Tamandua tetradactyla: one gene and its partners. The protein of the gene in region 1 purifies or fractionates together with the protein of each later gene. This does not show direct contact. Links are inferred from orthologs where the notes say so. Each region holds a gene or a part of one and is shown in the gene's direction. Other genes may lie near its edges. The genes, in order: NASP, ASF1B, ASF1A and HAT1.

What was found.
Region 2: the proteins of NASP (region 1) and ASF1B purify together in Homo sapiens (affinity purification with mass spectrometry; 5 studies listed by BioGRID and IntAct, counting the BioPlex papers as one, with this or other methods). This does not show direct contact. The link is inferred for Tamandua tetradactyla from reciprocal best matches to the Homo sapiens genes NASP and ASF1B.
Region 3: the proteins of NASP (region 1) and ASF1A purify together in Homo sapiens (affinity purification with mass spectrometry; 6 studies listed by BioGRID and IntAct, counting the BioPlex papers as one, with this or other methods). This does not show direct contact. The link is inferred for Tamandua tetradactyla from reciprocal best matches to the Homo sapiens genes NASP and ASF1A.
Region 4: the proteins of NASP (region 1) and HAT1 purify together in Homo sapiens (affinity purification with mass spectrometry; 3 studies listed by BioGRID and IntAct, with this or other methods). This does not show direct contact. The link is inferred for Tamandua tetradactyla from reciprocal best matches to the Homo sapiens genes NASP and HAT1.

Annotation. Positions count from the first base shown.
Region 1 is NC_135328.1:177,644,347-177,651,364, reverse strand, and holds the start of NASP (nuclear autoantigenic sperm protein), read left to right. Parts: upstream 1-4,010; 5' UTR 4,011-4,097; coding exon of another isoform or gene 4,098-4,122; 5' UTR 4,123-4,150; intron 4,151-4,156; exon of another isoform or gene 4,157-4,406; intron 4,407-4,488; exon of another isoform or gene 4,489-4,581; 5' UTR 4,582-4,620; coding exon 4,621-4,679; intron 4,680-7,018. UniProt on the Homo sapiens protein: Component of the histone chaperone network. Binds and stabilizes histone H3-H4 not bound to chromatin to maintain a soluble reservoir and modulate degradation by chaperone-mediated autophagy.
Region 2 is NC_135337.1:88,724,553-88,732,485, forward strand, and holds the start of ASF1B (histone chaperone ASF1B), read left to right. Parts: upstream 1-4,927; 5' UTR 4,928-5,054; coding exon 5,055-5,163; intron 5,164-5,183; exon of another isoform or gene 5,184-5,921; intron 5,922-7,881; exon of another isoform or gene 7,882-7,933. UniProt on the Homo sapiens protein: Histone chaperone that facilitates histone deposition and histone exchange and removal during nucleosome assembly and disassembly. Cooperates with chromatin assembly factor 1 (CAF-1) to promote replication-dependent chromatin assembly.
Region 3 is NC_135331.1:179,705,746-179,712,761, forward strand, and holds the start of ASF1A (histone chaperone ASF1A), read left to right. Parts: upstream 1-4,014; 5' UTR 4,015-4,442; coding exon 4,443-4,551; intron 4,552-7,016. UniProt on the Homo sapiens protein: Histone chaperone that facilitates histone deposition and histone exchange and removal during nucleosome assembly and disassembly.
Region 4 is NC_135329.1:143,634,365-143,642,176, forward strand, and holds the start of HAT1 (histone acetyltransferase type B catalytic subunit), read left to right. Parts: upstream 1-4,794; 5' UTR 4,795-4,910; coding exon 4,911-4,953; intron 4,954-7,812. Other genes in the region: SLC25A12 (electrogenic aspartate/glutamate antiporter SLC25A12, mitochondrial), read right to left, coding at 3,659-3,712, 4,632-4,643. UniProt on the Homo sapiens protein: Histone acetyltransferase that plays a role in different biological processes including cell cycle progression, glucose metabolism, histone production or DNA damage repair. Coordinates histone production and acetylation via H4 promoter binding.

The DNA of each region.
Region 1 (7,018 bases):
TTTTTTTTTTTTAAAGGAAGGAAAGACAGAGAAGGAAGGAAGGATGGAAGAAAGGGAAACATTTTTAAACATTTTCTTGTTTTATTATATTTTGTTTGTTTGTTTGTTTTTTACATGGGCTGGGGCCGGGAATCGAACCGGGGTCCTCCGGCACGGCAGGCAAGCACTCTTGCCCGCTGAGCCACCGCGGCCCGCCCTCTTTTTTTTTTTTTAACTGGCAGAAAATCCCTTTAGTATTTCTTATTGGGCTGTTCTATTTTTGACAAATTCTTTCAGGATTTGTTTGTCTGTGAAAATTTTAATCTCTCCCTCAGTTTCAAATGGCAATTTGATTGGGTACAGAATTCTTGACTGGAAGACTTTCTCTTTTTCTCTTAAGATTTAGGATCTTAAATATATCATACCATTGCCTTCTCACCTCCATAGTGCCAATTGAGTATTCTGAACTCAGTCTTATGTGGTTTCCCTTGTATGTAGTAGATTGTTTTCTCTCGCTGCTTTCAGGATTTTCTGTTTCTCTTTAACATTTGACTGACTGGTTAGTATGTGTCCTGAAGAAGGCTTATTTGGATTTATTCTATTTGGAGTTTGTTGGGCTTCTTTGATTTGTGTGTTCTTGTCCTATATAAGGGTTGGGAAAATCTCCCCCATTATATCCTCAACTAATCTTCCTAGCCTTTTGTTCTTCTCTTCTTCTGTGTCATCAATGATTCTTATATTTGAGTGCTTTATTTTGTCCATCATTTCCCTGAGATCCAACTCAAATTTTTCCATCTTTTTTGTCATTTGTTGTTTTGAGTGTTTGAAATCAATTTGTCCTGTCCTCTAGTTTGCTTATTCTTTCTTCTGCCTCTTCCAATCTGTTGTTGTGTGTCTTGAGTATATTTTTTATTTGGCCTAAAGCATTTTTAATTTCTGTGATATCTGCTATTTTGTTTTTTCAAATTCCTCTCTATGCTCTTCTAGTTTCTTGATCTTCTTTATGTAATTAGCCATCCTATTTATTTTATTTAGTAGAATTATACAAACTTCTTTGACTAGTTGTTCCAAAGTGTGTGTCTCTTCTGGTGTTTCAATTTGGTCATTAGGCTGGGCTGTATCTGTCTGCTGATATGCTTAATGATCTTCTGTTGCCTTCACCACATATAAATATCTTGATTGGTTTACTTTGTAAATTGACTTCCTTCAGTAGTCTAAAGCTTTGAATTTGCAGGATGGACGTCGAGCAGAATGTGGGGCACGACAGTGAAGTAACTTGTTGCAGCACAGGTATAGGCGCAGGTTAGGAATGCTGGTGCCTTTGAGTATGAGGTGTGTGTTGGGGGGCTGGTAGAGGTACAGTGCAGGGGCTGTGGGTATGTGGTGCAGCTCAGGTCAACCTTGGAGCACAGGAGCAGGTTGTGGAGTGGGGGAATCAGAGGTAGAGTCCTCCTCGTTCATGCACTCCTGAGGGTTCCAGGCTTCCATTTAGAAAGGGGTGTGTTAGACAGTTTGCACCAGTTGGATCGTCTCCAGTTCTCTGTATCTTCAGCTTTTGTAACCAGGGCCTCCCTATGTGGTGTAGAAGATCTTTCTGGGTCACTTACACCCTGAAACAGTTGTCCTAGTCACCTTCCCATCCCTTCTCTACCTGTTCCTTGGAGTAGGGGTGAACTTGACCTATCCTATTTCACCATCTTCCAGGAACCCTCTATTCTGCCATCTTCCCAGAACCTTGGGTCCAGCCCTTTTGCAGTTATTTTGTGCTGTCCGACTCAAAAAGCCTTCAGTGTGTTTGTCAATCATGTTGTTTGTTTCTTTTCTTATTATATATATTCCCCCCCCCCATTGGATGCATGGGCCAGGAAACGAATAAGTAATCTTCTTTCTAGTTCTAGTTATGATTATATTATGATTGCTTTATTTATTTAGGAAGTTCATTTGGATATCTGTTGTATGAATGAGGATTTAGCTATAAATAAGACACAAAAGATCACGTGAAGCCTATATACTTAGAAGGGGTTATAATAAATACAGAAATAGTAACTATAGATATTGATCAGTACAGTGAAAGAAATAAACTAATTTTGATTGAGTGGTCAGGGAAGGCCTTTTTGGAGGTAACATGTGAGATGAGGTCTCATTTCAAGTACTGGCCAAAGAGCTTTCTAGGTAGTGTGGTAGGAAGACACTGGAGTTAGAAAGGGTTTGGATAGTTTGAGAAACAGAAAGGAGACCAGCATGGTTGAAGTATAGTGAATGAAGGTTAATATGAAATGAATTTGGAGAGGCCAGAACATGTAGAATCCTTTTTAAATTTTATTTCATTTTTAATCATAATTGATTTATTGATAATAATCTAACTGAAAAATTGTAGTTGATAAAACTTTAATCAAAACATGTAAAGAACTACATACTTCAAAAACTGCAACAATAAAAGACAATTTATGGTACCTTAAAAATAAGGAATATCTAAAAACAACCACAGAGCATCTACTATTTATTATACAATATGAAATTCAAAGCTAATCGTCGTCATTCTTCTGTATTTTCCCACATTTGAGCTAGAACTCTTCTCCCTACTTCACTATGTTGTTATATAATCCTTTCAGTTTTAACACTTAAAATAACATGTAGGTTCTTGTAGGCAACGATAAGGAGCTCAGTGTTTCTTCTAAGAGCCATAAGAAGCTATTGAAGGGGAGTGACATGACATGACATGATGTACTTTTTTTTTTTTTTGCATGGGCAGGCAATGGGAATTGTACCCAGGTCTCTAGCATGGCAGGTGAGAACTCTGCCACTGAGCCACCATGGCCCACTCCATGTACATTTTTAAAAGATTTTTCTGGAGAATGGTTGGAGAGGGTAAAGTGGAGACCAGAAGTTACGCAGTACTACAGGCAAGGGATTATGGTGACTAGGCCTGGATTACAGTAGTGGAAGTAAAGACTGAGGGAAGTGGATGAATTTAAAATATATTTTAATATATTTTCAAATATATTTATCTTAATATTGAGTTCCTTAAAGGCAGAGACCATGTCTTTTGTCCCTGGGCCCAGAACAGAGCCTTTCACATCATAGGTGCTCAGTGAATATTCGTTTAACAGATAATGGATTACACAAGTAACTGGGCTTGTGTTAGGCCTGAGAAAAAGCCCTGTTCCATTCCTCCAGCTACCATGTTATCAGACTGTAGTGGTAATTTGTGAGTGCTTAGCACAAGCCAGACACAATGCGACTTGTTCTAGTGAGCATTAATTCTAATTTTCACAGTACCCTTAAAGGTGTATATTAATGTTGAATCATTTTGCGTTTAACTTTAGGGGATTAAATGTATTGGCTCAGGTAATTGTACAAATAATTGAGGAGCCCACGTCTGTTTACCACGAGAACTGGCACTTTCAGGCCCAGCTCCATAGCCTCAACGATTTCAAGCCGCCTGAGCCTTGACAGACTGAAATAATAATCCTCCCTAGGTATATTTCTCAGCCAGCGTGCAAGATCCTGGACGGAAAGAGAACCTCTGTTCTGATCACTGGACACAGGGCCGTGGTGGAAGGGACTTGATGATGCCCCAGGTGGAGGAGCAGCCATTTCATGCTGCCTGCTACGCTCCACTTAGCCAGATGCGGGAATGGGGTTCACTGCATTGTTTTCAATGACCGACTTGTCTTGCAACTTGCTGAGGAAGTCACACCTTCACTGAAACTGGGTTTCTTTTTCTACGAAATGAGGCTAATACCGATCTCACAAGCAGTGTTGTTGTCGAGATTTAAAAAAATCAGCTAATAGTTTTAAAGGATCTAAGCACAGCACCTCCGCACTCAGTAGGAACGCGATAAACCATAGCTCTAAGAGTGGACGTGAAGACTTAGAGCCAATCTGATTTGGAGTTTGGGTAGAGCCTGAGGATGGCGTCAGCGGATTGGGCCAGCCGAAAGGGGCGGGTCCGGAAGGAGGAGCCACCCGCTTCTCGCGGTCACTTTGAGCTTTGAATCAAGCGCGGTAGCTTCAGCTGCAACCAATCCTAGAACTGTATTATGTGCGTCAGTTGTTGCTGCGGCTCCAAGCCACGCGTCCCTCACTAAGATCAGTTCTAGCCGTTGCAGCTTTACCGGTGCTCCGCTCTTGCGTGTCCATCCGTTACGACCGAGAAGAAGGACAGAAGGTCTCAGTTACCTACCCAAGTATCCAGGGCTGAAGGAGACCCTCAGCTACTCGCACTAAACATACAGAGCTGCACGGGCTTCCCCTTCTGCCGAAGCCACTGGCTGGCGCCTTGTCAGGAGTTGTAGTCCCAAGATTCCGATTCTGCTTTTACACGACTTGCTAGAGAAGGAGGAAATTGCACTTTTTTGGGGGAAAGCGAGCCTGGGAGGGAAGGTACCCCACGGAGTTATCCAGCGGAGGTGGGGTTTCCTACGGTTAGACAAGGACCGAGCCCTGGCCCTTTAAACTCGAAGGGGAGGGCCCGGAAGTGGATGGGCGGGGAGAAGGGCCCTGGTATATAAGAGGGCCCCAGCCGCGCGGGGTCTCCAATCTGCCATTTTCTATCCGTGTTTAAGTGTCTCGCTTCCCAAATCTGTGTTTTCCTCACAGGCTCCATTCCGCCCGCTGGTACATCGCCTCAGGGAAACGATGGCTGCAGAGTCCACAGCCACTGCCGCCATCGCTGCGGAGTTGGTTCCCGCCGACAAGTAAGCGGGACCGTGGAGAGCTGGAGGCACTGGCCAGTACGCGGGGAGGGGGTGGCGGACAGAGGTCCACGGGAGGGACAGACCGGTGGTTGGAAGTACTTCCCATGAGGCGCCATAGCTCCTCGGGGAGACCTGAGCACTAAAGAAGCCCATGTTTACTGAGAGCCTCGCGCATTAGCGGTAACGCCTGTCGGCTGGCGCCCCCTGCCCCGCTTTTCGCAGCCGCCATCTTGCCGGGGGCATCGGCGGCTGTCTCCATCGCCTGCCCCTCTCCTTCCTCCCCTGGCCGGGGGCTGTCGGCGGGTAGGCGGGGCTCCGGTGCGCTGTCCTGCCCTCATTCCCCTACTGTCTCCGCACTCCTGGCGCGCGCCTCGGGTTAGCGTCTCCAGGCAACCCGGGAAAATAACCAACAGAGATTTGGCGCCAAAAGAGAACCCTGCACGAGGAAAGAAGCTGGGGTCGGGAGTGGGCGGACCCTTCGGTGGGCGGGGTCTTGTGTGCGTAAGTTTGCTTCTCCGCCCTTAGTGGAATAGGGGGCGGGGCCCCGAGGAGGCGGGAAAACTCCATTGTCTGGGGTCGCGGCGGCTTGGAACTAGAGCGTTGGACTTGCCGCGGTGGGGCGCGGTGATGCTGACTCCCCACCACGCTTATCTTGTACTCTGGCGCTCTCGGCGAGCCCCCACCCCTACTTGTGGTAGGGAGCATCGTGTTTTTTTTAGACTTCAGAGGTGTTGGTGGGAGACTTGGCTGCTTCGGGGAAACATGATCCGGATGCGAAGCTGTGTGGCGCTCTCCCAGTGTTTAGTTACTAGGTGAATGGGTAGTAAGTAGTATGCACCGTATGAGACCCAGAGGCAATGATAGACGATGGGGTTGCTTTGAATGCGGCAAAAGTGGCACTCTAGCATAAGGTATTTTATGAACATTGAAGGGAAACACCTTAAGTGCTGTTTTCTGTTTAGTAGGTCTGACAACAATATTTCCTTTATTTCTTAGAGGTCTGGTTCTAACTTTCTGCACTTGCTTTCTGTAATTGCTTCCCTTACAGGAAGAAGGCTGCTATAAGATTTTTATGATTGAATCTTTGTTATTTACATCACATACTTAGTATATTTATAGCCACCAGCATTTGTTTATCTCTGTGCAACCTACCAATCTCCTTTTGAGTGGTTTCTTTATGGGGTTTTTGCAGAACGATGGTTCTCAAATCACAGATACAAATTAAATTTCAAACTGTTTCCTGACTTTCCCCATTGATTCAAGACAATTGGAATAGATTGGGCTTGGGAATCATATCTATTAAAAAAAACTTCTTACGTGAGGCTTTGCAGGTACTTCTTCAAGAATTCTAGCACTTATTCCAGTTACGGATCTGTGCCCCCCAATCTTAAGAAAAAAATATATATATATATTTTTAAAGATAAAATCATGGAACAAATAGCTCTTGCAAATTTTCAGGTGGTTATCTGTCTAACCAAAGTTATTGACCTAATCTCCAGCTTCCTAGCATTAAATTCCATTGTGGGAGTCCTCTTCAGGGTTTATCCATTAAAATGAGTTTTGAGAAGAGCTCCAGGTCTAAACCTTAGGGGCGTCCTTGATCCTTTCTGTGCATTGTCATGTCTTCCACATGTACATGTGGTCCTAGGAATTCCCCCATTTAAACTGATAAAAATGTCCTCTCTTCCTAGGAAAGAGTTCCTCAAGGTGTCTTGGGTACTGCACTGTATGTCCTATAGCCACATTCTCTTTGCCCAGATAGCATGACATGACTGCTGTTCCACAGCATTCTGCAGGAGAGTTCATGAGCTGCTGTGTCAGGGCAAGTTCTGGGATGGTGAGTTCCTTGGGCCACTGCTAGACAGATTGGGCTAGAAGTATAAAGCTCCTAACATGTGCACTAGTGTTACTCCTTCTGGAACAGGGACCTGGAATCTGTATTCTGAGTGTGGACTGACTGGTCTCTGAGCTGATGAGGGTTGGGGGAAGGCCTAGTCAAGGTATCAGGAGATCCTACCTCTTTTAAATAGCCTTTTAAAATTGATTTGATGCAGGCCCTGTTTCTGCACGCCTTAAAATTTTTTTCTGGAGTTTTGAGGAAGATGTTTGCCAGTTTTTACTGGTTAAGAGCTGCTGTGGGGGGAAGGAACACTGAAGTATTTCACTCTGCTATCTTGATGGGGCGGGGCTCTCAGTTGCTGTGCATGCGTGTGCGTGCCTGTGAGAGAGAGAGAGAGAGATAGAGATATGGGGGCCTGGGTCTCCCTCATTGTGGGCGAGAATTCTGCGAAACTACCACTGCACCCTCTCACTCATTTGTGATACCACTCTGATCACTT
Region 2 (7,933 bases), on another chromosome or scaffold:
AAGGCACCAGCAGTTTTATCACCATTTCTTTTGAGCTGTCAGTGAAAATATCAATACTGAGGAAAAGGCAAATGTCTTAGCACTATTGTGGAGAAAAAGTTCACTTCATAGACCTCCTAAAACAGTCTGGTGGAATTCCAGGGGACCACACTTTGAGAACCATCAGACTGGTAAGTAAATGGAACTGGACAATGGTTTATGCATGTGGGAAAATATTAAATCACAGGCCTACCTCACATCATGAACAATAATCCAAATTGCAAGGGGATAAAGCGAAATACAAAAAGTAAAACTTCCAAAAGAAAATATATTAGGCTATCTTTTTTATCTGAGAAGCTTTTGTTAAGCAAAACACAAAAAACATAAACCACAAATACACTGGTAATTTTGATGAATTAAAATAAATACTAATGTTTTTAAAATTCTGAACATCAAGAGACACCATGAAAACGAAAAGGCAAGCCTCCCATGTGAGAATTCCTGTACTCAACAAGACAAAAACCAAAAACAATCGTACAGAAAAATGGGCAGAGACATGAACAGGCAATTCACAGAAGGTAAGTGTTCAATAAACATGAAAACAGCTCAACCTCACTGGTAACCAAGGTTTAATGCAAACTGAAACAGCACTAATTTACACCCATCAGGACACAAATTAAAATGCCTGACAATACCAAGGGCTGCTAAGAACATGTAGCATTAGACACACTCACATGCTGCTGATGGGAATGAGAAACGGTATAGTGATTTTGAAGAACAAATTGGAAATATCTAGTAAAGGTGAATATTCCCATAACCAAGGGCCCAGAATTTCAACTGTGGGGATTAATAGCCTAGACAATCTTCTACTCCTTGTGCACAAGGAGACATGCAACAATGTATACCACAGAGTTGTTTGTAAGAGTCAACGATTGGAAACCACCAAAACATCAACCAAAAGATGAACAGGTAAGGAGAGTGACAGTCATAAGAGAGTACTGGGTAACAACACTGCCCGAAACACTTCTTGTGATGATGGAAATGTAGTCCACCTATGCTGCCCCAGAGCGGCCACCAGCCACAGACTGCTACTGTCACTTCTAATGTGGCTAACCAGACTGAAGAATTCATCTTCTCACTTTATTTCATGTTAATTAATTTAAATCTAAATTGTCACAAGCAGCTAGTGGTTACCATATTGAACGGTGCAGCTACACAGCAGTAAAAATAGATTAAAGCTACATACCTGTTTCAGCACAGATGAACCCAAAAGCATTGCGTTGGAAGAGCAAAGCAAATTGCAGAAGGCAGGGCCAGGACTGCAGGCAAGTGAGGTGTCTAGGGCGGAATTTAAGGAGGTACACCCACAGGGACACAGGAGTACCAGCTAGGCAACAGACAGGTCCTGAGAGCACGTGCCTCTCTAAATCTTACAGCCCAGGTGCCTTTCTTGTCTTGCCCTAGTCCTAGCCAGGTCTGGATGGAAAATTATGATAGTGTATCAGGGGTCCCCAAGATCACCCTTAGGTTCGGTGTTCCAAAACTAAGAGAACTCATAGGATTTAGCATTCAGTCATGCACACAGTTACGATTTCTTAAAGGGAAAGGATACAAAGCACAATTAGCCAAGGGAAAAGGCATCTGGGACAAAGTTTGGAGGAACCCAGGCACAATTTCAGAGTCTTCTCCCTGGTGGAGTCACACAGGACATGCTGAATTCCTCCAGCAATGAGTACTGATGACACGTGTGAAATGCAGAGGGAAGCTCATTACAGATGCGGAGTTTGGGGGGTTTTACCAGGGGATGGGGGGTGAGGATGTGCGCAGATCACATACTGGCACATACCAAAACTCCCAATTCCCTGAAGGACAATAGGTGTTCAACAAACCACACTGTTGATACAGTTTTAGACACAATGAGCCCCTCTTATCATTTAGGGGAATGGTGAGAACCCTCCCGAAATTCAAGTTCTCAGATGCCAGCCAAGAGCCGACCTTGCAAGAAGGCCTTTCTAAGAAGTATCTTTTTTTACATGGTTACCATTTATGTAAAATTGCCAAAAATGAAAAACAATGCCATATATTGTTCAGAGACACTTGCATATAAAATAAAGATGCAATCTGTCCTGTAACTACTTGTTGAAGAGTGCTTTGAAAACTAAAAAAAATAAAAATAAAAATATACAAAAACATGTACACAAAAATTTATACCAAATTCAGGGCTGTAATTACATTGGAGGGATAAGGGAGAATGGGTTTGAGGTTAAGGTAAGCCCTTTCATGGCATCTCTTAACGTTTTATTTCTTAATCTGGGTAACGGGTAGAGGGTGTTTTGTTACAGTATTCCTTATATTTTGCGCGTGCTCCTGAAATATTACAAAAGGGCTCATCTGCATATTACTATAGTTCATGCTTCCCACATGCTTCTCACACTCCAGGTATACGCTAAAGTCATTTATAGAGATCTCTCCTCCTGAAGACACTGGGTGCCCATACTAAGGTCTGGTAATAGAAATTGAACAAGCTACGGTCCCAGCCCTCAACCAGCTTTCAGTCAACTGAGGGATGAGACATACAAGCGCAATTTAAAAACCAGCATAAAGATTCAGATCATAAAACAGGGTGATATAATTGAGGAAAGACTCCTTTAAATAGGTTGGTCTGTGATGACATCTCTTTTAAGACTTCTGTGCTGAAAACATAAATGATGAGAACAAGAACACAGAGCAACCACCAGTGAGAGTACATTTCATGTAGAGGGAAAAGTAAAAGCAAAGCCCCAAGGCAGAAACAAGCCTGGTGTGTGGAAGGAGGGAACACAAAGCCAGCAGAGCTTGAGAGTGGTGACAGAGTGATAAACGAGTCCAGAAGTGACGCTGAGGCCACTGTGCAAGAACTCCAAGCCCTACTGAAGATCTTCAGGCTTGATCTAAGTTTAAGCCTCTGAAGGATTTAAGCAGAACAGCCTGAACTGGTTTACATTTTAAAACCAATCCGCCAGGTGTCTGGGAACACATTATAGACAGGACCACCTTCTCCACCGGCACCACAGACCTAATGCTGGCAGCTGATGACCAGGGACGCTGGTGGTGGATGGGGTAAGTGTCGTCGATATGGTCTGGGAAGAGAAAAGTGGGTTTACACCTCATCCTAGAAGGCTTAGAATACCAAAGGAGGGTTTGAACACTATCAGAGGACACGTGCAAAGATATCTCAAAGCAGAGGACACTTGAACTGAGCCCTGAATAATGAGAAAATGCCAGGGTTCCAAGCGCTGGGAGAAGAGGTTAGGGCAGAGCCTCTGAGCTGGGGACCACTTGTGGAGCTTCTAACGCACAAAAAGAGGATGGGATTGGCTGGATGGAAGTTGGGACAGTAGGAAGTACGTCAAGCACGTTCTCGCCCCTGGAATAAACATTCCCACTTCAGGCAAGGGAGGGGCCTGATGTAATTTATTTTAGTCCTGCTCTGACCCATAACACAGCAGCGCCCGAGCACTGTGAATGTGGCTCTTGTCACTGTGGCACTGAGGTCAGGTTATTGCTTGATTTTAACGAGCTAAAGCCCAAACTGAAAAACTGATGCCTGATTTGGTTGGTGGATCTGAACAACTGGGGCACGTGAAACTACTTTTTCAGCTGCCAACTGGATGAAAAGTGGAGCTCGATCAACACAATCCGGTGAAAATTTAGTGAGAATTTAGCCTCCCGATTGCAGATAGGCTGCGAGGAATTTCCAAACCTTCTTTCTTGCAGAACACGAGATATTTTATTAGTATTTTTAACCAATTACTCGTTGGGGTAATATCTGGGCCTGGTTGAATTAAATAAGGGATATCGTTAAAATTAATTTCCCCCATTTCTTTTTGTTCGCCACTTAATTAAAAAAAAAGATAAGTGGTTTCTAAAAAACTGTCGGTTTGGGAAAACGGCGGGCGTTGTTTTTCCCCTGGACAGCGCCGCTGGAAGCAGAGGGGGTGGGCGTGGAAGCCTGATTCTCCCCGGCCAGTGGCGACGGCGGTCTGGACCTGACCGGGAAGTGGAGAGAAGTTTCTGGAAGAACTGCGGGGTCGTGTCCGTGCATTATTTGCACGGGCTCAAACCCCGACCGGTCTGACTCGCACCGACGACGGGGCGCTCTGAGCACCGTCTATTAGAAGCCGCTCCCCGGGCGGCGGGCCCCGAAGGGGCGACAACGGGATTCAAGCCGGGCGCCGCTCCGCCTCCCCCGGGGGCCTGTCAGCGTTCACCATATTCACCACGGAACCCTCGGCCGCTGGGCCTGAGGAGCCTGGAGCTCCTCACAGAGGCTCCCGGCAACGCTCACCCGCAGACGAAGCCGAGGTGGCCGCGCGCCTCCTCGTCTCCCCTCACGACCGACGCAACCGACTTCCGGTCCTATCTCGCCAATCACGAGACGAGCTTTCTCCTCCCGCCTACCGCAGTCAAGCCAACCAATCATCTCTTAGAAAGCAAGCTTTCGTTTTTGTTTTTTTTCTCACCCTCTCCCGTCTGTCAGTCACCACGGAAGCGAGCACCGCCCTTTCCGCTCTCTTCAGCGAGTGTCGCGCGCCCCCGCTTGGCAGTTGGTGGCGATGCCCTCCACGGGCTGCGTGCCCCGGAAGGACGGGGCGACGAGAACGCCCACCACGCCTGTGCTGGAACCCTTGGGATTGGTCAGCGGGAGCCCCGCGCGCTGACTCCGCCCATCTCCGCCCTTAACGTCCGCATCGGAGACGCTGGGGATTGGTTCCCCACTGGGGGGGTTGGGTTAACATCCTCAGGAGCCAAAAGGTGGTCCCGCCCCGCGACGCGCACGCCGGGGAGGGAGTTCCGCTGATTGGTCTAGGGAATCGCAGCGCGCGCCGACTGGAGTTCCAGGATTGGCCGAGGGCGGGCTCGCGCCGCCGGGGAGCGTTAGCGGTGATTGGCCGGAGGGCGGGGCCGGCTATTTGAAGGCGGCGCGCGGATGAAGCGCGCACTTCAGTCGGCTTAAGGAGGTTGAGGAGGTGTCCGTGGGAGGGCTGCGCTCTTGACCCCGGCGGACACGGACGCGGCCCGGCCCCGGCCCGACGATGGCCAAGGTGTCGGTGCTGAATGTGGCGGTGTTGGAGAACCCGAGTCCTTTCCACACCCCATTCCGGTTCGAGATCAGTTTCGAGTGCAGTGAGGCCCTGGCGGACGGTGAGGCTGGGCCTGTGTAGGGCCTCCCCCCCCCCCGGCCGGGCTGACCCGCACTTCCCGTCAAGAGGCCCCCAAGGATCACTCCTTGGTAGACCACCGACGTCCCGGTGAAGAACCCATTCCCCCTACCAACCCCCTCCCGGCCAACCCCAGTCTCCCTGGAGGGAAGCCCCCAAAGCCAACCCCGACGTTCCCGTGGAAATCCCCCACCGCCAGCCCCTACCTCACCCGCCCCGTGGGGACCCCCGACGGCCAAGCCCGACCTCCCCCTGGAGACCTCCCAAGGCCAGCTCTGGCTTCTACTGCCACAGGGTCTGAGCAGGTTAAAGAACAGAGGCTGAGAGGGTCTCTACGTAGAAAATGGGTGGCTCGGAGGACTCCCACAGAAAAAAGACGGTGGTGATAAGGCCTCCACTAGAGGGGCAGTTGTAGACCTTGAAAGGTCTACAAAGACCTTTCAAGAAAAGGGCTGTAAAATTCTAAAACCGAATGGCTAAGGTCACCCAAGAAGCCTTTTAACTAGCTCTCAGGCAAGTGGTGCTTTCAGGAGGAAATTCTCCCCTTAGAGAACTTCTCCGGGTGATTAAACAAAAAGCAGCAGCAGTTGAGGGGGTGAAAAATCTGTAAACCCGGGAGGCGGGGTCTACTAAGGAGCACCACTGGGTGGCTGGTGGGCACTTTGCCTATAAAGCTTGCTGCTGGGATTTGCTTGTAGCTGATGCTGTTTGAGATGCATTTGCCCTGGGATGAGCCAGTAGGTGAGTCTCCCTGGATTTTCTTCTTTTCAAATTAAGGAGTCTATGTGTGACTAGAGAATCGGCTAAGTTAAATCCCTTTTGGAGCAAGGCAGGGTGTAAATAAATAAATAAAGTGTAGAATGACACTGAGGAAGATTTCATTTTAAAGCCAGGAGGAGCTATAAGGAGCTAGCGGTTTAAGGGATTCGCCAGTTTAAGGGATTCGCCTTCCCAGATGGCAGGATATCAGGTTTCATTCAGCCGATTGTGCTCCTGGAATTAAAAATGATTCTGAGGTCCTTATCCAATACTCTAATTCCTAGGAAGCTCCTACCTATTGTTTTTTTTCTAATCTGCATATGGAATCAGGGCAGGAAAGGCCAAAGTCAGCAAGCTGATTTTAAATTTCTTAGTAGAGGGACATGGAATGACTCCTCTGAAGTGACAGCAAAGGCAGTTTGTGGGAGTGTTGGGACCATGGTGCGTCTCTGAGTTCTGAGTGCAGGGCTCTTCCTCTTTGCTCTTATCCCAGTGGTAAGATTAGAGGTGACACATAAACATGAGCAGCCGGGGAATTTATTGCCAAATCATGATTCTCAAAACAGAGACGGGGGCACTGGTATAATTACAGCCAGATGATAGAGCTTTTGTTCAGAGAAGCTCAGATTGGAAATCCTGTTCTGGCCTGGAAACCCAGACCCTCGTTCCACCCTAGGGCCGTCGGTGACTTAGACCTGCAAACCTGCTTTCTGCCTCTTCCTAGCCTTCTTCCCACAAAGCACAGAATCCGTTTCCTGCCTCCCAAACAGAAGCCCTCTCTGAAATCCTGGAGAAATCTGTCAGTCTTGTTACCTCTCAGTACCAGCAAACTGAAAATCCGATGAGCTGTACAACTCCTAGTTGGTTAGCTGTCCCATTTCCTAAGGGCTCCAGACTCCTTCTGCTGTCTTTCTCAGCATTTGGAAGTGGACGCTTCCAAGGTGTGGGTCCCCATTTAATACATTAGATGTGTTCCCTGCACCCTCTTGAGAAATTCAGCGGACACTGGTTGAATAAGTCATAGAAACCAGATGTTCTGACCCAGAGCTGTGGCAAGGCCAAGGCTCATCTCTGTAGCTATGAACAAAGACAAAAGGTAAATAGGAAAAGGCCTGCTAGAGGTGCTAGATTAAAACAAAAACAACTGGGGAACAGACACTCCAGCTAGTTGAGCTATAATGATTTTTTATGCATCTTTAGCCATATTATTGGTTTTAGTTTTGTTTTCAGGGATAACAGAGGTCCATCTTAGGTGTGGCTTAGACCGTAACGTTAGGGTATAAAGACACCGTGATACATGCACTCAGATTACCCTTGAAGTTGCCCATAAGGTTAGGTACCCAGTGTTGGGGTGGGGGGGCGTAATTGTGCCCTGTAAACTGTAGATGTGGAGGTGTGTGTGACTTTGTCCCACATTTCATTCTATTCTATATTCAGAATTGAAATCGTTAAAGTACATCTCTGCTTGAAACCCTTTTCAACAAATTCTAGTTTGTAGGCCCTGCTTCAGTCATCATGTCGTTGGTAGATTCTATCAGATTCTCTAACTTTGGCCCTCAGTTAATTCCTCAGTTTCTCTGGACAGCGTTGAGGGAGCCTCAGTGGGCTCACCTCATGGTATGTTTTCTCTCCTACTCAACACCAATCCAGTCTTTATGCAGGTTTTGCTGACAATTATTGACTTCAGTCAGACAACATCGAGCGCCTGTTGTATACATTGGGTCCAGCTCTGTTTTGGTCTCATTGGCAAATGGACATATATAGGATCCCAGTGGTTATGGGGCAGGGCAGAAGGAAATATACCAAAGTTAAGAGTTGGGTTTGGGTAAGTGAGATCAGGGCTAGCTTGTTTTTTTGTTCTTCCCCCAAATTTGATTCTGGTGGTGTCACTGATTCCTACCAAAAATAAGTTAATAGAGTTCACTTTCTCCTTGCAAATAAGGCAATGCTGGAGATTGGCCCCTACTGAGCCAGAGTGTTACCCAGATCCTTCA
Region 3 (7,016 bases), on another chromosome or scaffold:
CATGTATCATGAAGTGAGACAGGCTACAGGTGGAGACAGTTTAATAAGAAAATGAGTCCAAAAAGAGCTTGATTTATAAAGGACTAAAAACACAACAAAACTAAAACTAGATACGAGAAACAAAAAATTATTAGGCATTTCCATTCAAATCTTTCTAGGCTAGAAAACAACTTAATGATATTATACTAACAAACTGTCAACAATATCCATAATAGTGCTTCATAAAACTGATACCAATTACAGACATCCAGAAAATGTTTAACAGTGTAGCTCAGCTGCGGATCAGGGGTCAGACACAGCGTACAGCACCAGCAAACTTGAAACTAATAGTGGGCAGCAATGAACACAAAATAGTATTCACTGTTTTGTGTTACAAAACAATAATACTTTTATTAATGAGGTGAGACCGTGTTGGGGGGATGGAGGCAGAGGAGTACACTTTATGCAAAAGACACCAACACCTTATAAAAATATACAGATGCATTCCAGGCTGTATAGCTCTCCCCATTAGCATCCCTTCTACAACAGGAGCGTGCTGCCTGTGGGGGGCCTGGAATCCCACAGCTTCACCTCAGAGGAGTCTCCTTCACTCCTAGGACCTAGGCCAATGTTCCAGCTTTGTTTCTCAAGAGTTCATCAGTAGAGTCATAACCAATAACCAGTATCTGCCAGCTGTGGGGATCTTTCAGGAAATTATACCAGTCTATTTTTCTACACATCAAGGTCACTTTAAATTTTTTTTGAGCCAATGGAAAGTGGAGTAGGGATGCACTGGATCAGCAGTTAGAGAAGTGGGTTTCTGAGCAACAGTGTCCTCATTCGTTATGTGGGGATGATGATAACTTCTCTTCCTACCATAGTAGAATGTTGTGAGGCTCAAAATACACAAGTTATGTAAAAGTTCTTGACAAATAGTAAAGAAAACATTATGCCAAAATATATAAAAATAATATAATAAATACAAAATTCTCACTGAACTTTAATTGTCTAGGTATGCCTGACATTTTCTACTCTGTGTCAAAATTACTTGATTTTCTCAAGGAAATCTCTATATTCTTCACTTACACAGAAAATTTTATTTAAAACTATCATTAAATTTGATATCATGTCACTAATAAATAATAGGGAGGCTTTTAAAGTAACTAAAGATGCTATTACAACAAGCCCTTACATCAGAATTTTTTTTTAAAAGGACAGTGACAATAATACAAATCCAAAGAGAATTCAACACAGCCATATGTTATTATCTCAGGTAGAAATTAGGATTTGAACAAAGACAAGAGATTAGGGCTTCCATTCTTATAACTTCCACAACATGCAGGGAATGAGATGGATTTAATTCCTAGTTCTAGTATATTTTGATTCAGCCCAAAATATAACTTTGATAACTTTGATTTCATCTTGTCCTGTGACCTCAATTTGACTTCAAATTTCAAATTTTTAAATACCCTGTGCCTTGGATCCATGGAAACAGGCTGCATCTTGTCTCTTCAGAATGCAAGCAGCGTGCCCAAGGTGCTTCCTCTGAAGAACGGCCACAGTGTTCCCACCGAAGTGGCACTTGATAACTGATCAATATGTGGATTAAATAAATAAGTACAGGTTCTCATTTAAGTTTACATTCTGATGGGAAAAACAAAAACAAAAAACAAAACAGAACCTTTACAGTTAATGTAGGTTCACTTATTTATGTCCTAGACACTAGCTTTGTTCATCTTACATCCCAAACTACCTCTCTCAGTGTTCCTGCTCCCAAATAAATTGTACAGAGAGAAAAGATTTGGGGATGCAGCCCTCCAAGCATCATGTGGCCCCCCTTTTGTATTTAATAAATGAAGATATTCAACGTGACTCATCTGTTTTAAATACAGTTAGCTTTTCAAGAGTCATCACGACGACATCCAACAGGTCCTACTGACTGCCTCTCAAACCAGAGTGATGTTTTTACAATTTTTCCCCATGGCATGCCCATAAAATTTAGAAATATGCCAAGGCATATTTGAGGAATCCCTTCAGTCTTTCCTGTAAGGTACTGTCACTGGTGAGAAAACTATTGGGAAGTGTGCTCAAATCAAAGACTGTAAAATTTCTGATCAGCAGTAATGAAAGAGTTAAGACAAGAGAAGCAGGATAAGAGGCATGAAGCTAATTCTTGCAGCTTCCAGTGAACCATTAGGGAGGACTTTTTTCTCCTTACACGCTATAGCATAAATCATGTTGGAAGAAGAATTTAAAGAAAATAAGCCAAACCAAACTAGTGTTAACCAAATAGATCTTTTCAATTCTTGATACTACAGATCCTCCAAGAACGAATTTTGTGGTAAGACTGGTCTCATTATGACACACCTATGGTCAGACTACCAAATGCACCTCATTTTGTGAAGTTTATATCATTTTTCTAAAGCAAGTAAATCAGAATCTTCTCTTAAAGTACCTGCAATAATCAGACAACTGCATGCCCCATTCCAAAAGCAGTCATATTTTAATCTTCAAATGGTCATTCCGTGCTCCATACCCGGCATATCTGACAGTAGCACACAGCAGTTCGCCCTTTATCTTAGCTAGTGTGACGATAAGCACAAATAAGAGTGAAGAGAGTATAGAGTTTATCAGTCATGGTAATCACAAATGGGTTGAGGAAACCTGTTCTATTTTTGGCAGTTTAATCCATTAAAAGTAAAATGGGATCTCTAGTCTAACTGGTTTTCCTTAATGTGGAGAGGCCTGGCATAAGCTGTTCCACATTACTTTTCCAAAGAGCTTCAGGTGAAGAAGTCTTATCAAAAGTGACCTACTCACGCCTGAACAATATCCGAAGAATGAGAAATCAAAATTCTGGCCACTACATCAAGAGAAAACTCGTTCAGCATCGACGATACTTAAGAAATATTTTTCTCTCTGAATTTAATAAGCCAAGTTTGGTGGTTTCATTCACAAAACTTATGGGGGAAAATGATGGTTATGAATAGCAGGTAATTAAACAACCCTTTATACCTCTCTTACTTGTTAAACAGAAACAGTCCAGCAGGCTCACAAATGTAAAAGCTCCTCCTTTCCCCACAATGGTAGTCAAGTAACACAGACGAACTGAGGTTTCTCAGTTCAAACCCGAAGTGGTTACAGGTAGGCAAAGGGTTCAGAACTTGTCTGTGGTGCCACTCATTTTTTAATTTACTAACGATTCCTAAATTTTTTGAAGATCAAATGTCTTGGTAAGCCTTTGTGTTCTCCACTCTTTCCTTCTCTATTACGTTTGTTGCCCCTCAGTCTCCTGACACTTTCTTTTCCTTCTTTTAAGCCCCATAAATGGCATAAAACTGTAGGTGGTCACATCTCTAGTAACCTTTGTTTCATTCTAAGACTTTCCTGATGACAAGCGGGAGGAAGAAAGCCCACGTGCAGCCCAAAGATTGGCCTTTCAGATTTTCAAGTGACGTGTGTGTGTGGGAAAACGCCTATTCGCCTTTTGTTTTGTGACTATTTAACTAAAGACACCGTTATGTGCCCCAAAGCCGATACTAGCCAAGCGTTAGATTTCCAAAATGGCTTTCCTCCTTTCGAGCTGGCAGGAATCGATAAAATACAATTTATTTCCACTGCAACCAACCCTTCTCTCTATTCCAAATACTACCCGATACATGGACAGCTGATCTGCGCTAGTGTACACAACTAAATCTCAGAGGCTAAATTCAGCAGAGTCGGCAGGGCCGTTAGATACAAATAAAGAGTACGCCTTTTCAAAAAAACAAAACAAAACAAAGCAAAACAGCCTCGAAGCAGACCCGAGCGGGCGTCGCCAGGGTTCGCGCCCTCCTGCCGTTGCCACGCCCTCTTCCGCCCGGAGGCCACGCCCCTACGGCCACGGCCGTGGCCACGCCCCCTTCAGTCAACACCCGCTCCCGTCCCCGCCGCGGCCACGCCCGACGTGAGGCGCGGGAGCCGCCGGGCCGAGGGCGGGGCCTGCGCCGCCCCCGCCCCCTCCCCCTCGGCCCCCTTCCCCTCCCCCCCCGCCGGCGGCGGCCTCCGCGCGGGCCTCCCAGCCCGTATTCCACTCACTTTGTTCTCCGCCTTTGTCCTAATCCGCACCAGCAGGTGGAGCCGCAGTTAAAGTTTCCGAGTTCATTTCGGGAGCGGGAGCCCATCTTGCTCGCTGCTGAAGCCCTCGCTGGAGGAGGAGGGTCAGAGCTCGGGTGCAGCCAATCGCGGCCAACGCTGCTAGTTATCAGAGCAGAATGGGCTGTAGTTTAGTGAAATAGGAAAGCTGCAAAACACTGTGGAGTGCTCCCGTGTAAATAAAAAGAGGAAAAAAAAGTTTCTCAAGTCGCCGCTGCACGACGTCGGGCCGCGCCGGGTGGGGGTCTGCGCTCTCCGAGCGGCCGCGCGCTAGACTTTGTTGTGCCGCAACCAGCCCCGGTTTCCATTGTTTGTGTTTTTTTCAAAATATGGCAAAGGTTCAGGTGAACAATGTAGTGGTGCTGGATAACCCTTCTCCTTTCTACAACCCCTTCCAGTTCGAGATCACCTTCGAGTGCATCGAGGACCTGTCTGAAGGTGAGTAGCGGCGCCGCCCGCCGGGCTGTCAGTTGCGGCTGCAGACGTTGAAAGTTTCCCGGGCCGGGCCTCGCGGCGCCCGGTGCTCGGCGCCCGGCGGCGGCAAACTCCCGGCGGAGGGACGACGGCCGGCGCAGCCGAGGCGCAAGTTGCGAGGAACTTGTTCGAGCGGAGGGAGCCATGTTGCCAGCTTTGTCTGGCGGGAGGGAGCCGCGCCGGGCCGGCCCCGCGAGCTGCCTGTGCGACCCGGGGAGGCGGCGGCTGCAGGAGAGGCGAGGGCGTGAGGCCGCGCCGGCGAGCTCGGAGCGGAGCCATCTTACCGGGAGCAGCGAATTGGGGCTGCTGACCCCGGCGTCACGGCGCCTCCTCGCACCCGGCCGCGGCCCGGGAGCCGGCGCCCGCCTGCCACCTTCCTGCCCCGAGCGGAAGGCAGACGCGGGCCGGGAGGCTGCGCCGGATCGCCCTGTGCTCGCGGTGGCCATGCCCGCCGCTTCGGGGAGGAGAGCGAGGCTGTCCGCGCGCTGATCTCTGGCTGCCTGGACCAACCAGCGGGGGAGGCGGGCGCGGGCTCGGCCCCTCGGGCCCGGCGGCGGCGCGTCCTCCCGGCGGCTCCTCCCGGCGGCCCCGGGATGCCCGCGCCAGGCTCGCCCGACCCTCGCGAACCCTGCTCCTCGGTGACTAAAATCTTCTCTCCTCTCTCTCAGGAAGAAAAACATTTCTAAGCTAGGAAGTTACATTTAACCCAAGAGCAGAAATGTGTAAAAATATTTAAATAAATTTCCAGGACATTTAATCACTGGCTTCTAAATAGTCTGAAAGAAGACTCTGCAGGAACGTGTTGAAATCAAATTAAAATAACTCCACATCCAAACAGATACAGAATACACCCTGAACTTAAAACACAAAAGTGGGCTAGAAAATAAAAGGTAAAGTCCTGATGGCGATGCAAACATTTTTACTGTTTTCTCTTAAGTACGTTTTAAGGTCTTTAAAAAAGATAACTTCTTTTTAACATGAGTATAGTAATACGTATTTAGAAAGCTAAAACTTAGCAAGGTCTTAATCTTCACCTTTCTTGAATTTATTAAATGAATCCAGTGCTTTATTATCAAAGTTTGAAAAAATGTTAACCTCATCAATGTTAACTTTACAATTAAATAGGGGGCGTTTCTTTGAACTTACATGTATACTTGACAAAAAGCATTTAAAACAATTGTGCTAATAATGGCACGTGAAGCATTAATTCATTTAAAAATTAACTTTTAATCTCTATAAAATGTATTTCATGTAGGGTGTTAACTTTTTAAATTATGAAAGCAATATATGCCCATTGTAATAAGTTTTTAAAAATGGTAAAGACATATATAAAGTAACAGTTTTCTATACCCGGTGTCTTCCCCCATTTCACTTTTTAAGGTAATCACAATGTATACTTTAATGCCTTTCCACAGAGTTTTAATACAGATATAAAGCATATATATATATATTTGTAAGGTATATTTTGAAAGATTATCTCTTCATTAAAATAAACTAATCTCTAAATAGGTCCAGTGATAAAATAAAGGGTATTTTACGTATTACTCAGACACCACTTGATTACTCTCCTATAATACAACTAGGAGCATTTCAACTACTAGGCCCATTTTTCATACCCAGCAGTCAATAACTTCGCCTTTTTACTGGCAAGTATATATAAAAATGGGCAAAGAGAAACCATAAGATCAGTCCATTCCAACTTACACTACAGTTTTTAGGCATTAGAAATTCTTCAAATTACTGGAATTTTCAAGGGATGCCTTCCATTTTAGACATTAGCTCTGAACAAGGAAGCTAGTTCAGGATGTCATTTCAGGGCTGTTATGTTGGATGGTTAAAACCCGCCACTCATGGAGGTGGAACTGTTTTCCATTTTTGGATCCATTCAGAGCCCAGGTGAATCACACACAGGGTTTTTACAATACTGATACCAAGAATACATCTACTGCCACGTGTTCTCCTCACTTTGAGTACACCATTACTGGGCACTTATTAGTATTTTTAAAAGACTTTAAGCTGAGTCATACTGAAGGAGTCTTTCAAAAAAGGTGCCATGCCTGTGTACTCCACCTAGAGGCTGTGTGGATTAGGGAAATTTTTACTTAAGCAAAGGATCCTTATAGGCTACAAACTTTTACACTGTAGTTCTTTCAAATAAAATCTATACTTGAAATTAAACTACAGAATGTTCTGAAGAAAAAATTTCATTTTATAAATAATTTTAGCTACTTTAGAAAAAGTCTTGAGTATTTGCTTTTAAAGTAATTTGTTTGTTTTTAATATAAGGCTCATATCTAGGGGTAGGTCAGTTACAAAAAATGTAAGATTCAAGATTTCAGTCGAGATTGCCCTGTCAGCCTGGGAATTAGGAGACCCTGGATGTGCTTAACCCAAGGTCGCCAAGCCTGTACGTGTCTTCATTGACCCAC
Region 4 (7,812 bases), on another chromosome or scaffold:
ATGATCTTGAATCCAAATGACCTCAAGATCCTACCAAAACTAATTCATACTAATAACAGAACAATTTATATCTAAACACTTTTTGTGAAATTCCTACTCTAAACTCTAATGGGACCATACTCCCTGGTTCTCCTCCTTCTCCTTCCTACTTCAATTGTGGATAACACTTATATATCAGTCCCTGATCCTCTGCCCTATTTATTTTATAATTACTTCCCCTAATTACAAGGTTTCATCCACCACCTATGCAAATTTGTATCTCCCCAAATCTGACTTAGTAGGATTCAATTATTTAGCAACCAAATTTAACCAAAAAAAAAAAAAAAACACTCCCAAAATAGAAGCCTTGCATTGTCAATTCACCTCTATGCTAAAAATGCCAAGTTCATATTCTTTTCTCTACTTCCACATTTAATACCAAATTTAATGAATTGCTCCCTTACTAAGTACCTGGCATTGTGTTTCCTTTCCATTTCCCCAGCCTTCAGCCACTCCAGGTCATTATCTCCCAGTACATAGTTTCAATAGCCTCTTAGCTGATCACCTTGCCCATTTCCAATCTCTCCACTCTTTATCCAACCTACACAAAGAGCTGCCAGAACTCACCACTTCAATTTATCCACTCAGAAACCCATGGTGCCTTCCTACTGTTTCAAATCTAAACCCCTGGGCCACCTGTTCTAGATAGCACAGTAAAGAAGCACTTTGGTTTTTTACAAGACCCTAGGTGACAAGATATTTTCTCTAACTTTTTAGCGAAATACAGTTGCCATTAGCTCCTTCCATATTTCGGTCTCTCAAAATTCACCTCCAGTTTCAAAATCCTACAAGCAGGGCAGGCCACACTGGCTCAGCAGGCAGAGTTCTCGCCTGCCATGGAGACCCAGGTTCTTTACTCAGTGCCTGCCCATGCAGGGGGATGCGGGGGGGATTCTGCAAGCAGTATTCCGTGAGGGTTGAGTATGGGTTCTGGCATTTGATTTGAATCTTGCCTCCACCACCTAAGAACTAAATGACATTAACCAAGTCATATAACATATCACAGCAATAATAATTCTACCCCACAATATAAGGTTGCTTGGAAATTAACAAAATATCCTTAAAGCACCAGGCCAACGTCCAATATGCTGTAAATGATTAGTAAATGTTAGCCATTGTCATTATTGTCATATGGCCTCTCTGATCTGGGAAAGTCGAATTGCTTGCTCTACAGTAGGCCATGCATATTTGCCCTCACTATCCTTGACTCCTCAACCATAGTCCATTAGAGTTGGAAGGTACCTCAGAAAGGAGTTTGTTCAATCACCCGTCCCTCTCCATTCAAGTCTGGGTGCAATCCTCCCTTCTGGTTGTTCAATTTGGTATCTTTTACCAAACCAAATACGAGTGCATGGCACACAGAAAATGGTCCTTAGTAAGTTATTTGAGTAAATATGTTGAGTGCTAAAGAAATATGTAGTAGTATTTCTCTCTCTGCTACCCATAAAATATTAATAAACCATATACATCTGTAACAAACTTGCTAAACAATGCCCTATAGCTTCAAGCAGCTAGAGTTTGAAGAAGTCAAACAAGGAATAAAATTTTAATTTGTTATATGGTGGCTGTTTCAGTTGATTCAAACTATCTTGTATATGGTGCTGCTTTATACCTTCCTAAAGGTAGGTATCTGTGTCCTATCCCTCTCTTATCTGTCAATAATACCTAGGTCAACACTTAATTAGTGCTAAATACTTGATTATGAATTCCAATTTCCATATATCCTTTATGTCCCATTGAGCCTGATAGGAGAAGCCCAGAAAGGCTAGATAGTAAGGGTGCAACAACCAGATCGTGGCAGAGCTGGGAACTGAACCTAGTGCTCCTGACAGCTAGGCTGGTGTGCCTTTTACTGTATCGTGCCACATCTCAAGTTACTTCTTCTATGCATATTCAATCTAGAAAATAAAATTAACGATATCACATGAACTTCTCACAAAACAATTACATATAGTCATATGATGTGGTTAGTACTGACATATTTTTAGCTGTTCTCAAGATTCTTATGGGGAATAAAAGTTTCAAGCCATAAATGGAGCCTTTCTATTATAACTACTTTTTGGAAAAGGTGCTTTCCTTATCAGATTTTACAAAATTTAAGATCGCCATTTTCACTAATTCTTTGTCATGAACTACACATATATATGGTCATCTATGCAACCTCCCCAACAATAACTTAAGTATAACCACATGTCTCAGATAAAAATGTCATCTATTCCAGGCTCATCAGCATATGTTAGAATCTGTTCCTAATATAGAATCATAGACTTTTAGAGCTGGAAGGAACCTTGGAGATCGCCTCTCATTTTACAGAAGAAACTAAGGCCAAGCAGAAACCTGCTCAAGGTCAAAAGGTGCCTACGTAAGAACCCAGATACAGAAAAGAAAGCTCTCAAAAGAAAAATCAGAGAAAAACACAATATGTAATGAAACACTTTAGTTTACCTCCTTTTAAATCTATTTCTTTAAAAAAAAACTTTTATTTTGAAATAATTTCAAACACAGGAAAACTATAAAGATAATGCAGAAACAGTATATAAAACCCCAACATACACCCCAGGGTAAATAGATTTACTATCTATTAGCATTTTACCACGTTATATCAGTCTATCTCTAACTTCTAAACGTGCGAGAGTAAGTTGCACACATCATGTTCCTCTAATACTTAACACTTCCATGTACAATTTCTGAGAACAAGGACACTTGCTTATGTAACCAGCTTAAGCACAGCTATCGAATTCAAGAAATTTAACATTGATATATAAAGCATACAGGCCATATTCCAATTTTTCAATCATTCCAATAATGTCCTTTTAAGCATTTTCTCCTCCATTATCAGCTCCAGTCCAGGATTACATATTACATTTAACTGTCTCTCTCTCTCTCTCTCTCATTTTAATTGTTGCAAATTTATACAACATAAAATTCCCCATCTAAACCTACTTTTTAAGTACAACTTCCTAAGTAGGAAACGTCTGAATTTTAAGAAAAGAGAGCAAAGTAAAAAACTAAGCCTCAATCTTCTTTTTTTTCCAATATCTATAGCCAAGTCACTGATACTAAAAGCTGAGCAAGTAGAGGTGGATCCTTGCAAGCATTTTAGAGAGTAGTATTTTTTAACAAAGTCCCAAAGGCCTATGAATTTTAATGTAAATAAGTAGAGGGGAAAACAAGGCACACACAAATTAAAAATAGCTATAGCTATAATACTCTTACCTCTATAACACTTTACATGGTGGATTGCTTATACTTAGGAAAACTTCACAAGCAGGCAACTTTTAATGAAGGAAGAACCGTAGTCACCACACAAGAATGCCAATACATTTTGAAATTTCATTTTAGGCGCTGCTTAAGGAAAACTGGAAATTCTACTTTTTAGTCCTTTTCTTTCCACATGTCTTATACATATAAAGAAAAACAAAAATTTGAGGAAAATATTTTATCAAAACTTGATAAAAAGGAAAACCTTTCATCAAAACCTTATTATAAGCTATGCTGTCTAGCCATGTTTGTAAGAATGCACAAAAATAGACCATTCCTCAAAGTTAAAGCCTGACAAGAGATAAAAACTTACACAGTTGCTGTGTGAACAAAAAGCAGGTTACAGAAACCAACTTACCTGTAAGAATATGTTTCTTAACTCATGAGGATCACCTCGCTTGGTTGTCTGCACCTGTAAGACAAAATTAAAAGCCCGTTAATGCTTCACTAAAGACCTATCTCTTCAGACTAGAATTCACATCTCCAACAGTGTTCTTTTATTTTTTATAATGGCATTTGGTTTCAAACAAACCAAAGCACTAACTGCTGAAAACAGCTGTCAAATTGGAAATGCATGACTGCAGGGCAGAATGACAGATGTGACAAGCATAACATATAGCAAATCGATGGGCAAGGCTTCTTCTGAACTGGAAAGGGAAGGCAGTCAGGATCCATCTTTACTGCCCATCTACTAGCAACACAGTAGCAATCACCCACCTTCAAAGCAAGAGGCTATCAAGAATGGAGCAACAGGAAAGTTAAAACACCCAAGTTAATCCCACGGCCTATCCGGTATTCTTCCAGGTGGAAAGCAATACCAGCACATAATTATCTCCGCGCCCCCCTCTTTCCCCACCCAACCTAAACTATGAGAGATGCTACAACGTTTCCAAATGCTTTCCACATCCTGCAACCTGGAGCCTCAATGAGGACCCAAATTATTCAATTGCTCGCCCCCTCCCCCACCACAATACATCGATGCCTTAGGCATCCCGTGCTTTACCAGCCACTTCCTCCCACCCCGCCTCCGACGCCGTTCTACGCCGGGCTCACAGACCCATGCACTTAGGGCAGAACACTACTCTTCCTTTTCCAACCCGTGGTCCTCACTAGCCGGTCAAACTCCCAATCCCTCCTCCCTCCCCTCCCCCAGCCGGGCATCCTCTCGCTCCGGTCCAAACCCCGCACAGCTCCACCACCCGCGAACTGGAGCCCCAGGACGCGCTATCTAAGAACTAGGCAAAGAAGCAAATGGAAAGAGGTGGAGAGCTGGAGGGCGGACCCCCGGAATGTCTCATATGCAATAAAGACAGCAGCAGAGTTGGAGTCACCTTGACCGCCATGCTGTGCTCGGAAGCCGAGGACGAGCGAGTGAGCGAGCAGGGCCGAGCTGTCAGGGCGCGCGCGCGCCGCCTCCTTGGCGGCGCCCGCCCTCCCTCCGCTCGCCGGCGCCGCGCGCGTCCCCATGCAAATGAGCTCGGGGCGGGCGTCGTGGGAAGTGGGATCCGCGCCCGGCCGCGAAGGGAGCTGGCCCGGTGGCCGGCGAGAGTGCGGGCCGGGCGGAGGAGGGCCCCGCTGCCCACGGGGAAAACTGCCCGGCGAGCCCCGGGATGCCGTGTCGCTGCGCATTGCAGACAGCTGAGCGGCCGCCAAGTAAGCCCAGGTTTTTTAAGGCCTCTTTAGTGGGTGTGGTTTTGGGCGCCAAGTTCAGCCTAAGTCGTTTCCCGCCTCCCCCCCTCCCCAAGCTTAAAGGGCCACTTGGGGCCTATGTTGACTCAGGTTTCTAAGGATCAAAGAGCACGTTCCATTAATAATAATAATAATAAATGAATTGATGACAACTGATTGCAAATATTGACAACAGAAAGATTGGCAGCCCCTCACACTGGGGACAACCTAAGTAAACATTACTGGAGAAATATGCCCCTAAATTGGCATGAGATAAATACACCATGTCTTTGCTTCTTGTACTATTATAATGCTTTATTTAGTAGTAGTAGTCTACTACTAATAAAGTAGTATTCACATACCACATTCCCAGTCACACAAATCTTTGGATGAGGTATAAATGCATACAAAAAACTGTTTTCTTTCAACAAAGTTGGAACTAAATCCTAGCTCAAATTGTCCCAATGTGAATAGAAAGTAATTCTCCATCACTACCTAAATGTAATACCTCTACCCTGAACCAAAATAATGTTTCTAAAACTGAATCTTGCCATTATGACTGTATTGAACTATAGTCACTCAACAAACACTGGGATCTATTAAGTGCCAGACAGTCTTGCTTGTATGGAATTACAAAGATGTAACAGAGTCCCTCCTCTCAGGAGCTTACAGATGGTCCACGCTTCTCCACATCCCCAATTTCGAGTGAATTTCCACTAGGCAAAGGAAATAAAAATGCAGAAAGAGGAGTGGCAAATGGAAATTGTGGATAAGGGAATGCTGTATTACTAGAAGTACTCCCAAGATGAGCTTTTCTGATGCAGTTGTTTCAATTGTCTACCACGGTTACATCTTTCTTCAATCTGTTCAAAGTGCTTTGAACAATGTAATTGGATGTTAAGATGGGATTTTTTTAATTCATATTTTGTCCAACTAAGACTTTATGCCCCTGATACTCTGCTGTATCTTATTTTATGAAGTCTCTCTAAGTAGGAATTTCGAGCATTTCTCCTGAAAATGTTGCTGTTAACCAAATCTGTATTGTCAGAGTGAAAATTTAGGGTTGGACTGGCCACTCCTACCAAGGAAGAAAGCTTACATTTAAACAGAGTACACAACAATAATTAATAGATTTAGGCACCAAACTGCAATGAAAATTTTCTTGACTGAAAAACAATTGATCTTGGAGCAAGTTAAAGGGCTTCATTGGTACCTATCTAGTTGCAATGGAGATGACATGACAATCTAAAACTAAATAAGGCTGCCATGTGGAAAAGAAGAAGAGTATTAAATAAATGTGAATTTTGCTAGATTTTTTCATCTATCCAAATAAAATGAACAGCAATAAACAAAGATATTAAACGTATATGCTATAGGAAATGCACTAAGTGTTGAAAGACATACAAAAGCATAAAAGACACAGCTGCTGCCCTGAAAAACTTTGGAATCTTTCATTCTGTTGTAATGACTGGCTATTAGTATTAGCAGGAGTTAAACCAACTTTAAATTTACCTTTGTCTTAATTGTAGATTATTGTAGTTGGGGAAAAACTTATGATTTACTGCAAAACTAAAAAATCTGTCAAGTAAGATTCATAATATGTTTGAGAAAATGTAGTGGAAATGATTCAAAATTTCATGAGTTTTTAAAAATTACGTGTCAATATGGTAATTCAGAACTCTCTTTAAGTTGCAAATGATATTTGTAAAAAAAGAATTAATTGTAAAGCTGTGGACAACTTTAAGTTGAAAACGTGATGATTAAGACAGCCTAGAAAGAATGGCATTTCAGAATGCAAGATTGGAAGTTAAAGGCTGAGACTAGCTGCAATTGTATTTTCATTGCTGACCCTATAAAGCAGATGTCATTAATAGTCATTTTTTTATAGTTGGTTTCATAAAAGATTCAATATGTACCTTCGCGGAGCTGGGAATTTAAATCTTCCTGTGAAGTTGATGTCCGTGAAAATAATGTATTACCCTCAGATGCAAAACTGAAACGTGGGGTTGCTAGACAAATGCATAGAAACAGTTCTCCACTTCCCAGGCAGCTCACATTATATTTAGTTTGAAACCATCCAGGTGCCTTGTGGGTGTAAGTTAGAATTATACTAATGTCTAATGCTCTATTAAACTAAAATACAGTTATTAAAACAAGAGGCAATTTCCAATGACTGTTCTGCCACAACTCCTGTGTATCTTCTAGCTGCCTCTGATTATTTTACTGACATAAATATATTTTTGTTCCTGTTCCTTTATCCCACACGGCAACTATGGATGCCATCTTGCAAGAAGTAAATGAGGGTGGGACACAAACATTTGGTAGAGCATTAGAATATCACTGACTAATGTAGTTGAGAAGCTCTTCCTAAATTAAAAGTAACACACATCATCACTTTGATGAACTAGATTTTATGTCCCTTATCAACATAAAGCTGATAAAATAAATAGCATGATCTGACTTCGACACATATGCACAAAATATATTTGAATGTTTGGAACTTGCAAATGTAGATTGGTGTTCTAGTCTGCCAAAGCTGCCAGAATGCAACACAACAGATATGGATTGGTTTTAATAAAAGATTTATTTAGTTAAAACATATAGTTCTTCAGAGGAAAGGCAGCTAACTTTCACTTTAGGTTCTCTCTTACACGAGAAGGCACAAGATGATCTCTGCTGACCTTCTGTCCAGGCTTCTGGGTTCCACCAGCTTTCCCCTGGGTGATTCCTTTCTGCATCTCCAAACACCTGGGCTGAGCTGCAAGTGCTGAGATGAGGTATACTGAGCTGCTTGGGCTGTGCTACACTGAACTCTCCCTTTTAAGCTTCCCATGAATTAAATTA